Arabidopsis thaliana: one gene and its partners. The protein of the gene in region 3 interacts with the protein of the main gene of each other region in a pairwise test. Each region holds a gene or a part of one and is shown on either strand. Other genes may lie near its edges.

Region 1 (3,754 bases), on a different chromosome or scaffold from region 3:
GACACCAAAACTGAAAACTTTCGTAACACAGTTAACGTTTTTGATAGCAGAGATGCAACATAGAGAGACACTGGCATGACAAGAATTTAACTCATTTCATTCCTCACATACACAAAGATGCACATTGATGTATACGATCATATCAAAAATACATTGCATACCTGATATAAACCCGTCTCATATACGTAATTGCAGTAGCTACAACCCTACATAAGTAGAAAAACCAAGGCGACGATTCATATACAAGTCCAGGTTACACCAGATATTAGAGCTAGTTAAATCTACAGAAGCAAAACAAAGTAATGGAAGTACTGCAACAGTAGAATCTCTTTGATATAGCAAAAATTGGACCCCCAAATTGTAAAGAACCAACCTTTGCCTCACTTTAATGTGCTGAGCCAATTTCATAATATCTGAAAACAACAATAAATGAAGAAACAAAGAGACATAAACTCAAAAAACTTCTCTGATCAATCTCTAATCAAACCAGTGCAACAGAGACAACAAATTTGCTTAAGTAAGCAGGAGAATTCGAAGAATTAAGAAGAAAAAGGATTTCGTACGATTAGACATATGGAACTTGATGAGCTTAAAATCATCAATTGAGATTCCACGTTCTTTATCGAGATCATGAACTACGTCGACTTCTTCTGGATCCAAAAGCTGTTTACTGTTTCGTACAAACGCAAAAACAAAACAAAAAAATTCGAGAAATTGAAATTAGAAGTTGCTTAGAAGGAGAAGAAGAAGTGAATTTTGATGGGTAAAGTTTTAAAGAACATTTACTAGTGAGATGAATTCCAGAAATTGGCAGCCATTTTTTCCGGTAGACCGTCGAGTCTTTGGTAAGGAGGAGAAGCTTTTTTAGCTCATAAGTTCAACATTTTTCTGTTATCTGTCAAATCTCTTTGGTTGGTGGTCTCATGATCTATCATATCGTTGCTTTTTTCTGAAATTAAATTTAAGGCTCGGCCCATTATCGGCCCAATAGGCAAACAAATGAAAGTATTAACTCTGATATAACATGTTCGTTGTTTTTTGAATAACAGAACATATAGATGATAAAAATTGAAATCTTATAAATAGCTAAGAAGTGACCGAATATATCATTTCGACGAGGTATAATCAGTTTCAAAAGGATTAAATTTGAGTTTGGTTTTTTTCGTCATGATTAAGGCTATAAAAATTCTAGCTTTATATCATCAGCCACACCGAATATTTTTCTCTCACAAGTTTTTGTATCATGTATTGTTCAAACGCTTGATCAGTGATTTTCTTCTAACCATAAGTTTGGGTGTTCATAAAAGAATTTTCAGAAGAACACCACACATTTTTCGTTTGCCTAATATACATGTTCATTTGTTTTATTGAGCCCATACTCCTTTATCAAAACTAACTTTTTTTCTTTAAACATACTAAATTCAAACTAAACTTAGACTAATACATACTCAAATTAACACCCTACATGTTTCTCACGTTCAATATTTGGTACAAGCCAAATAGGTAAACTACAATCTAAAAACGCACGAGAAAAACCGCATGACAAAGGAATAAGCCAAATAAGTTGACTACAATCTAAAAAACGCACGAGAAGAGTATCGATTATCCCGTGTCTAAATTTAATTCCGGTTTTTCGCTATCAAAACAATTCAAGAGGAGTTATTATTCTCTAATTCACCTTATAGAATTCTTTGGGATTATGTGCTAACCCAAGTTAAAATCTAATGTACTCATTAATAAAAGGTAAGTAATATTAAAGTTAGTGGAGAATAAAATCTGTTGAAGAAAGGTGAGGAAGTGCAACGGACCATGTTTGACACGTGAGAGTCAAAAAGGCAATAAAAAAGTCGTCAACACACACACTCTCTCCCCGTCTATATAAACATCTTCTTCACAGTCCCCACAAAGTCCTCTTCCGTTGCCTTTTCGCTTTCTCCGTACACTTGGCCTTCCTTCTAGCGATCAAACCCTAGGTCCCGCCATTGTTGGTCCCAGACTTCAATCGAAGCTCCAATTTCACTAATTTCAGGTGAATCTTCTTCTACTATTTCTCTTCCGTCAGTTTAATGTCACGATTTCGCCGGAAAAATGTGATCTACACTGTTTCGGAGTGAAATGTGAAGTAGATTTCGTTGGTTTCTTAGCTAGTTTGTGCTTTTCTCGAAGTTGTTTCTGTGTTTATTTCATGAAACGATTTTGGGTTGCTTTTGTGAAGTTGATTTTGTTGTTGCCTCTTAGTTCGTTTTCTTGCTTGTTAAGTGTTTATCGAGTCACTATGTGTAGTTCATGAATTACGTTTTCTACGGAAACGATTTTGGAAAGTTGTGTGTGAGATTTAGAGATTTTCTGTTTTTTACATGATTCTTGGGTTGTTCTGTGATTTACATTGATTCTGAGTTTTGACAGTCTTCTATGAATTACAGGTGTTGTTTATTCTCTGGAAGTTGGCGATACAATGGATTCTACTGCTGCAACCAAACGTGTTGTTGACCCACTTACTGTATGTTTTTTCAATTATGGGGTTTCTTCTCCTTTTTACTAGTTGTAATTGTGATTCTTTGTGTGGTTTGTTCTGTTTTTGTTGTTGTTAAAGTGTATTTTTGGGTTTGGTTAATATAGGTTGGGAGTGCGTTTGTCAATCAGTACTACTACATTTTCTGTAACATGCCTGAGCATCTGCCCCGGTTTTATCAAGAGATCAGTAGAGTTGGCCGTGTTGGACAGGACGGAGTCATGCGTGATTTCTCCACTTTTCAAGTAAGTAGTTCTTAGTAGTTTAGTTGGGTTTGGTTGAATGAGGATGAGACTATATCATTTTTATGATGTTAAGGATTAGTAACTAACATGGGGTTGGGCTGGAGTGTCATTTGGTATGGTGGAAATTGGATGGCAGTTTAAGTAACTTGCTAAAAGTGTCTCTCATTGATGCTTATTCTTTGTGCAGGGTATAAGTGAGGAGCTTAAGAGACTGACTTATGGAGATTGCAACTCGGCTGAGATAACCAGTTATGATACTCAAGAGTCTCACAATGGGGGTTTCCTTCTCTTCGTTACTGGATACTTCACTCTAAACGAGAGATCGAGAAGGAAATTCACCCAAACTTTTTTCCTTGCCCCGCAAGAAAAGGGTTTCTTTGTTCTGAATGACATCCTCAGATTTGTTAATGATGATGCTAAGGATAATGTTCCAGAGACCATAGATGGGGAAGTTGTTTCTGGGATAAACTCTACAACACCCACTATTATCAATGGTAAGTTAAACTTATATTTCTTCTAACGCAAATTCTATTCCAATCCTTTTCTTACACTTTAGCTCCTACAGGCATGAAGGGTTCGGAGCAAGCTGCATGTGTTTCAGTGAATCCTGTTTGTAAGGAAGTGTCCAAACCCTTGGATAATGAGAATGCTAAGGATAATGTTCTGGTACCTGAGATTGCTAATGAAGTTGCAAGGACTGAGATAACTTGCAAAGAAGTTGCAGATGATTCACAGAAAAATTATGACCCTGATGATGGACTTGCAGATGCTCCCAAGAAATCCTATGCCTCTGTGGTAAGTAGTCACCCTAGAGGATTCATACTCGATCTTGTTACATCTTATTTTAGGCTTTACTATATCACTTCTTGAGTTTTCTATTGATAATCAATGACTATCATAACAGTTGAAGGTTACGAAAGATAAATTTGGAGTTCCAGCTGTCTCTTTACCTTCTCCAAAGAAGATACCTAAAGACCAAGAACATCAAGCGCCTTCA
Region 2 (3,754 bases), on a different chromosome or scaffold from region 3:
CATCCAGCAACATCCTTGAAATAAATCTGGCGAAGAAAACAACAAAAGTAAGTTTATAAATTCCAAACGGATCATTAAAAACAAAGGCAAAACTCTAAGTCTCTAACCTTATTCTTGGAATGTTTATCAGCTCTCGTTATTGTAGCTTTGCCTATATTGAAAATTCCACGACCATTCTTACCGCCAGTTCCTCCTACACCCAATCCACCTTGCATCCGTCTCGCACCATAGATCAGAGTACCCAAGAGCAACAAAGTCGGTGCAAACCTCATGAACTCTTGATACCAGACCATTTCAGAGACGTATGTGACAGGAACATATTCATGACGATCAACACCTAACGCTTCTTGAGCTTCTTCGAGTTTCTCCTCAAAAGAATCAACACTACCGATATTGAAGTAGTACTTATACTGACCACCAGTTCTTTTAGCAGGAATACCGTTACCATTACCATGGACAACGTCAGTTGTTTGTTGGTCTTTCGGTGTGCTCCTCACGTAGACTTTTGCTACTGATTTGTTTGAAACATCTATGTGGTCAACTAAACCAGGCTCGAGTAGCTTGTTTTTGAACTCCTGGAAACTTATCTGAAACAATAAAAGGTAGCATAGGATATTAGTGGAAACTATACGAGCAGAACCACATCTGCAGTTCCATATCCAAGAATATCACAAAGCTTAGTTTAAATATGCTTGCCTGTTGTTGTTCCCCAGAGCCAAACGAGAAAGTAGAAAAGAATACAGCAAGAGCTAGTAGAGGAATTAGCAAATTTTGGAATCGGTTCATGAACATATCTCCCACATTCTCATTTTCATTCTTTTCTGAACCCTCTGTATTGCAACAATAACATATACAATTATTAGAATCCTTCAGTAGCACCAACAGGTCTCATAATAAGAAAAGTATCTTCAAAATCTATGTTGTTCACCTTTATGCTCTGATTTCTGATCACTCTTGGGTTCTTGCTTATCTTTAGGAAAATAGTTCTCATAATCTACACAAAGACAACAACAAGAACACTAATTTATAACCAATTCTCAACACTCATTAAAAATGGTTTAACATTTTTGCAAACATACTCTTCTTCTTAGGAGCTTCATCAGAGAAGAATCTACGAAGTCTTGGATTAGCAAAAACACCAATCAAATCATTATTGACTAAACCCTTCCGTGAAGCTAAAGAAGCAAAGTGTCTTCTTATAAACCCTAATCCACCTTCCACTTCATTCACAGACGCCGCCTCAAGTCCCGGCGAAGTAAGTAGCCTTGCCGCCGATCTAACACCACCACCGTACAAAAATCCCTAATTTCACATATAAACAAAAATCAGGTAAGCAAAAAAAAAAAACAAATTGAGAACGAATCTGAGAAGGAATCAATGAAATGAAAATAACAACTAACCTTTGAACGAGAAATGGAGCGATTAAGCTTAGAGAAGAAGATCATTGTCATACAAAATCACAAAGAACAAAACTAAGTTCGCATAATAGTTTATAAAAATGGTGAAATCGAAGATCTGAAACGAGCTTAGAAGAGGAAAAAATGCAAACTTTTTTATTGTGTTTGTGGAATAAAATCAAACAGAAGAAATGAAAAATCCAAACAAGATAAGAAGAAATTAGGGTTTTTGATTGGGGGAAATAAAAGTTTGGGTTTTTTAATATCTGAAGTTTATCGAGAGAAGAGAAGGTTTATGAAATGTCAAAGACAAAAAGACTCTGTACTTGTTGTGTTCTGTAGATTCTCTTGAACCGGTTTTGTTCTAAATAATGTCCGAATCCAACTTGTGCTTACCGGTCTTATTAAACCAGTGTTTGGTTCATAGGCCTAATTTTACATATATTGGGCCTTGGAGAACATATGGGCATAGCTTTTGTCATAAATTGAAAATAAAAGTGAAGAGGTAGCCGTAGCATATCAGTTTATTTTATTTTCAGTAATGAACCAATATTAACTAAAAAGGACACTAACCATCATCAACGAAATTATCTGCATTGTTGTTAATGAAAGAATTATGGTTCTATCTTTTTTTTTTTTTTTTTGGCTAAAGAAGAATTATGGCTCTTTAAATCATAATTGAGAAACAAATAAATAATCACTAATTTTATCATATATATATATATATATATGATAAAATTATAGACATATATACATAACTTGTTCCTCATAAACAATGTATAGGAACTGATATCAAGCAAAAACTCAATTTGGAAATCATGGCACCTTATACCATCGTATTGTATATTTTTTTGGGTATGAACTATGTCTATTGATCGACATATAAGATGTAGTGTATGTTTTTGAAAGACTCCTCTCATTTACGCCGATTATTACTGACACTAATTTAGTGTATGTTAAAACTTATACATTTCGGGTACTTCACGTATCTAATCCAAAAGGAATATCGATCGTGTTAATCCCCAATCTCCCCTCTTTTCTTTGTACACGTTCTAGTCGCCTCACATCAAATAATAATAATAAACAACAAAGATTGAGAGAGACACTTTCAAGAACAAATCATGTGAAAAACTTTGGGGTAGGGCTTAATTAAAGAGAGACAAGAGGGGACAAATTGGATAAGAAAGGGTTGGAGCATGTTTTGTCCACCAAACCTTTGGAATGGTTAAGAGACTCTTAAGTGGACCAATGCAAAATCATTTTACTCTGAAACGAATCTCTGATTCTCTGACTTTAGACAGAGACAAATCGGGGACAATGAATTAGATTCATTTCAATCTTCTTCGTTTTTATGGAAGTCGAGAGTCCCACGTAAGCTAGTTATAAAGTGTGTTAGATCTCATGCACGTACCCGACTGTGGACACGTGGCGACTCGTTTTATCACGAGACTAAAAATATGTTTTGTCTCCTTTCCACGGCTCAACGATTTATGTACTTCCGTGTTTGTTACATACAACAATATTGATAATGGTGGTCTAATCGAATTATTAGTTTATTTACAACTCTGTATAACTTACTAATACTACCAACTAAAAACTTACAAGTAAATAATTATAATACGTTTTTGCTTCCGTACAAACAATTACGTCTACCTCAGCTCATTATATGTCTGAACGGAATCTCAAACAAATATCCGGAATTATTGCATTGTAGAAAATGATGCCGGAGAAAATGTAAAAGGATAAATCGAACATTTAGGATCCAAGAGGTTAAAAGAGAATATCAAATTCCAAATTTGGCGTTTGCTTCGGATCCAAACACAAACGCAAATATTTCAACGCAACTGTCACAACATGATAGCAATAACAGCTAGTTGGAAATGTAGAGTTCAAAGATATTTCAATAAGTCCAAAGCAATAAAAATGAGATTGATTAAATTGCAGCTTTACATTAAGATAAAAAAAAATTACAAAAGAAAAAGGGGCCAAATTGGAGGCCAATTTTAAAGTTTAAGAAGAAAAAAATCTCTACTAAGAGAAATTAAAGATGACTTATTGGACTAGTAAAAAAAATCCCAAATATGCCTTAGGCTTAAATCGGGGTTACTCTTATTGGTAAACCCTTCTTGGGTACAGGGAAAGGACCATACTGTATACCTTCTTCATCTCCAATCACTTCCCATCTGCAAATTAAAATCCAAACTTCATCAATATTATCATAATAATAATAATAGTAAGATTGAAATATGCAAACAAATTGATATCAAACGAGATTCACATCTTTTGTGTTGGACCATATATAGACTAGTACTAATTTGACAGGTCGCCGATTCATATGTTTGGGTACTACAAATTAT
Region 3 (3,754 bases):
GGAGGTAAGCGTCTGGGTCAAGAACTATTCTATATGGGCTATATTCGGTTCATGTTAACTGAGAATTCGTATAACATATGGCCTTGTCGCCTACACTTTAGACTACTCTTAGTTTTGGTAGAGTAAGAGATGGAAAACCAAATATCATTAAGTACAAAAAGATAAACTGGTTGGTGCATTGGTGTTTAGAGATTCTTTTGAAAGGGTTCGTGTTGTAGTTAAGATGTAACCACTGGAAAAGTAAAGGCTAATAACTCCTTGAAGTTTTCAGATTCCTAAGAAAAAATTCTTGCTGTTATACAGTTAGTCATCAACCTAAAGCCATTTCTACTTTCTAGAGGATACAAGTAACAACTTCAAATCAGATTCTACGCCGTGTACTCAGACTCAGTGTAAGAAAACAAATATGAAACAAAATCAATGTATCAAAATATCACATTTGTGGATTCTGAAAATAGAAAAGAACAAAAAATAAATCCTCAAAACACTAATTCAGAAGAGAAGACTTTAGAGTCGATGGAAAAATTTGGAGAGAATAAAGAAACTTCTTGTCTCTCTAGTAACGACCAATACCCCAAACCCTGATAACTCCATCAGTGTATCCACTGAACAAAGTGTTTCCATCTGCACTCCAGTTCAAGCTTGTGCAGTAGATCACCTGCATTTTACATTCCACATTAGAACATATATAAACCACCTCAGACCAAAGAGTAACCAACAAATCAATATGGAATCACTTCAGACACTACAATCTAAGAAATCAGAGACTAGAGCTAACTTAAAACCAGGTTTCTCAATCTAATGTTAGCTACTCTCTTACGTACCAATCAAATCTTGTGAACTAACTTCACATGAGAGTATTCAGACCTTCCTTTATGAAAATCTCATCTTTTAAGGCAACGGCTAACTAATTCACAGAACTTAGAACTAGACAATTAACCATAAGATAGAGTGAGGAGAAATAGATACCTTGGTCTTGTTTCCGATTCCAGTAGAACCATCAGTCTTTTCAGCCTCAGCCTTAAGATCAACCTTCAAATCCTCAACAACAGACTTACTCTCGAGATCCCAAATCCTAATGCTATTCTCTGTTGCTGCACACAACCAGTACCTATTGGGACTGAAGCAAAGTGAATGAATAATAGAGCCAGCTTCAAGAGAATACAACTTCTTCCCTTCAGCCAAATCCCAAAGCAAGATCACACCATCTTTGCCACCACTGGCACACAACGAACCATCAGGTGACACAGCCACAGTGTTCAAGTAACCAGAGTGACCAGCAAGAGTGTTCCTAAGCTTACAATTCTGAAGATTCCAGACCTTCACAGTTTTATCCCAAGAAGCAGATACAATAGTTGGCACAAGAGTATTAGGACTAAACCTAACACAACTAACCCATTCCTTGTGACCATCAGCTTCAGAGATGGTATACTTACACTCACCAAGCGTGTTCCAAAGCTTAATCGTACGATCACGAGAAGCAGAGACGATCTGACGGTTATCGGTAGAGAAAGCAACAGAGAGAACATCTTTCGTGTGACCAACGAAACGACGAGTAGATTCTCCGGTAGCGAGATCCCAGAGACGAAGCTCACCGTCCCAAGATCCGGAGAGAGCGAATTGTCCATCGGAGGAGAGAACAACGTCTTGAACGAAGTGAGAGTGACCAGTCATCCTCCGCTGAGCAACACCGTATGACTTGTCTTCCTTTGTGAGTTTCCAGAGGATGATTGATTTGTCACGCGACGAAGTTACAATCACGTCGGAGTTATCGACCGGTGTAGCAATGGCGGTGACCATATCAGTGTGGGCACACATTGTGCCTTTCAACACGAGTCCTTCAGCCATGGTTCAGGGTTTGAGGTCGAGATTTAGGGTTTCGGCGACAAAAATGGGAGAGGGCAAAATGGAGGTAACGAGAAACCGAGAGTATTTATAGTTAGAGATAATTAGGGTTCTTTGTTTTCATTTGTCAATAGTTTGGGTCTCTTCATTTGGGCCAGCATTAAGGCCCGGTATTCTACCCAACTTGGTTTCATGTTGGGACAATTATGGAACCGAGATTTATATCTTTCTGTTTGGAACGCTTAACCAGAATTGGTATAGCTTGTTACAAGTCAATTTGATAACCACATGAGTACATGACATGACAACTTTTTTTTCTCTCTTTTGGGCAAACCCCATGAGAACTCTACCGAGAAGTTATTGTCAAAAATTGAAATAGACTCAAAAGTCGGTTCAATTAAAGTAAACAAACCGAGTTTGGCCATTTCAACTTTTATTGTAAGAACTAAGAACACAACTTCGACTGTCCCTGTGGAAGATATAATTTTACATGTCCGAATTCCGGAGAAGAAAAAGATGAAGTGATTGATTAAATTGAAATCGATCACATCAACCATCTCTTTCTCTCGCCTGCAAAGTTATCTCCTTTTCAAACCGAACGAATCAATTCGGGAATCTTCATCTTTCTACGTGTTTTCTCAGCTATGTATCTCTGGGTTCGACTTCAGTAAAAGCTTCACCAGCCATGGATTTCGTTAGGTTCTTGTTCGCTTCATCTTTCTTTGTAATTGCTTACTGTTTTCGTGAAAATTCGAAATTTAGTGTTTTGCGTTCTCTATCTCTCTCTCTCTAGCACACTAATTCCAATTCCTTAGGAAGGGTTTTTGGTGAATAAAGTTAGGGTTTTTAATTGATTCAATACCTTGTGGAATAAATTAGGGGTTTTTGGAGGAAGCATAGAAGGAAGGTCTTGGTGACGGCTGGTTGTTTGGGAAGTGGGTATTTACTCTACAAACTATACAATTCCCATACTCGTAGGCTTGCTGATTTGGAACGAGAACTCGCTCACGAGCGTGAAAATGACGAAATCATCAAAACCCAGTTAAGTTCTGTGCTCATAAAAACTGATCCTTTAGACTTCAGTTCTTATGGATTCTCTAACGGACCTGTCTTGTTTGTACTCTTGTTTAGAATGAAAGCACATTTCGAGAGTATTCAGATGATTGTGGATTCGACCACACTGCCTCACGCAATGCAGTTTTTGAGTATCCGTATCAGCGAGGAGATCGATGTCTCTCATGTTATGGACAGACTGAACCAAGGGAAAGGAATGCTGAGTCCACCTGAGAAACTTCAGCTCTGGGATGAGCTCAAGATTTTGAGTATGCACTGCAGTCACCTACTCTTACTCTATCAAATTCTGTTTCTTACCTGTATATTCATGTTATTTGCCAGGTTTCACGAGGATGGTTTTGTCTCTGTGGTCTGTGACAATGCTTAGCTTATACATTAGGGTTCAAGTCAACATTTTAGGCAGACATTTGTATGTTGACACCGCTCGAGCTCTTGGCAGCTCTCATTTACTTGTAAGATAATATGCTTCCCCTCTTCTCTGTATTGGAGAATTTGCTGTTTATTAAACGATACTGCACATGTTCTTTACTGCTCTCATTTGCTCGCAAGTATGATTCAGTGTACTTTGCTTATCTCATCCCCAACAAGCTATTTCTCGGGGAAACTCACTGGTTGTTCTGTTAAGAACTTGTATAATTATGTCTCTAGTAGCTGTGTTTAATTGCGATAACGATTATGCATTTGACCTATCTGTGGACTAATACTCTGGAATCACCTATCTTTCTTTGATATAGTTCCAGATTACCTTTTAAAGCCACGGCCGCTTGTCCTGTGATCTGCTTGCCCTGTGAGCTTTCAACAGTGTATCTATTAAATTTGTTTCTTTTTGTTTGCA

Evidence for each region.
Region 1: the proteins of RACK1B_AT (region 3) and AT5G48650 interact in a two-hybrid assay, tested with the Arabidopsis thaliana proteins (one large-scale study listed by BioGRID).
Region 2: the proteins of RACK1B_AT (region 3) and ftsh3 interact in a two-hybrid assay, tested with the Arabidopsis thaliana proteins (one large-scale study listed by BioGRID).

Annotation. Positions count from the first base shown.
Region 1 is NC_003076.8:19,724,824-19,728,577, forward strand, and holds the start of AT5G48650 (Nuclear transport factor 2 (NTF2) family protein with RNA binding (RRM-RBD-RNP motifs) domain-containing protein), read left to right. Parts: upstream 1-1,848; 5' UTR 1,849-2,029; intron 2,030-2,423; 5' UTR 2,424-2,455; coding exon 2,456-2,500; intron 2,501-2,619; coding exon 2,620-2,757; intron 2,758-2,944; coding exon 2,945-3,251; intron 3,252-3,322; coding exon 3,323-3,552; intron 3,553-3,661; coding exon 3,662-3,754. Other genes in the region: AT5G48640 (Cyclin family protein), read right to left, coding at 162-206, 374-413, 564-670, 787-818.
Region 2 is NC_003071.7:12,491,549-12,495,302, forward strand, and holds the start of ftsh3 (FTSH protease 3), read right to left. Parts: upstream 1,782-3,754; 5' UTR 1,452-1,781; coding exon 1,401-1,451; intron 1,303-1,400; coding exon 1,080-1,302; intron 995-1,079; coding exon 929-994; intron 831-928; coding exon 697-830; intron 588-696; coding exon 108-587; intron 27-107; coding exon 1-26. Other genes in the region: CYP707A2 (cytochrome P450, family 707, subfamily A, polypeptide 2), read right to left, coding at 3,490-3,580. UniProt on the Arabidopsis thaliana protein: Probable ATP-dependent zinc metallopeptidase. Involved in the assembly and/or stability of the complexes I and V of the mitochondrial oxidative phosphorylation system.
Region 3 is NC_003070.9:17,981,421-17,985,174, forward strand, and holds RACK1B_AT (receptor for activated C kinase 1B), read right to left. Parts: upstream 1,958-3,754; 5' UTR 1,849-1,957; coding exon 970-1,848; intron 659-969; coding exon 557-658; 3' UTR 216-556; downstream 1-215. Other genes in the region: PEX3 (peroxin 3), read left to right, coding at 2,531-2,544, 2,725-2,886, 2,977-3,167, 3,241-3,371, 3,479-3,549, 3,654-3,690.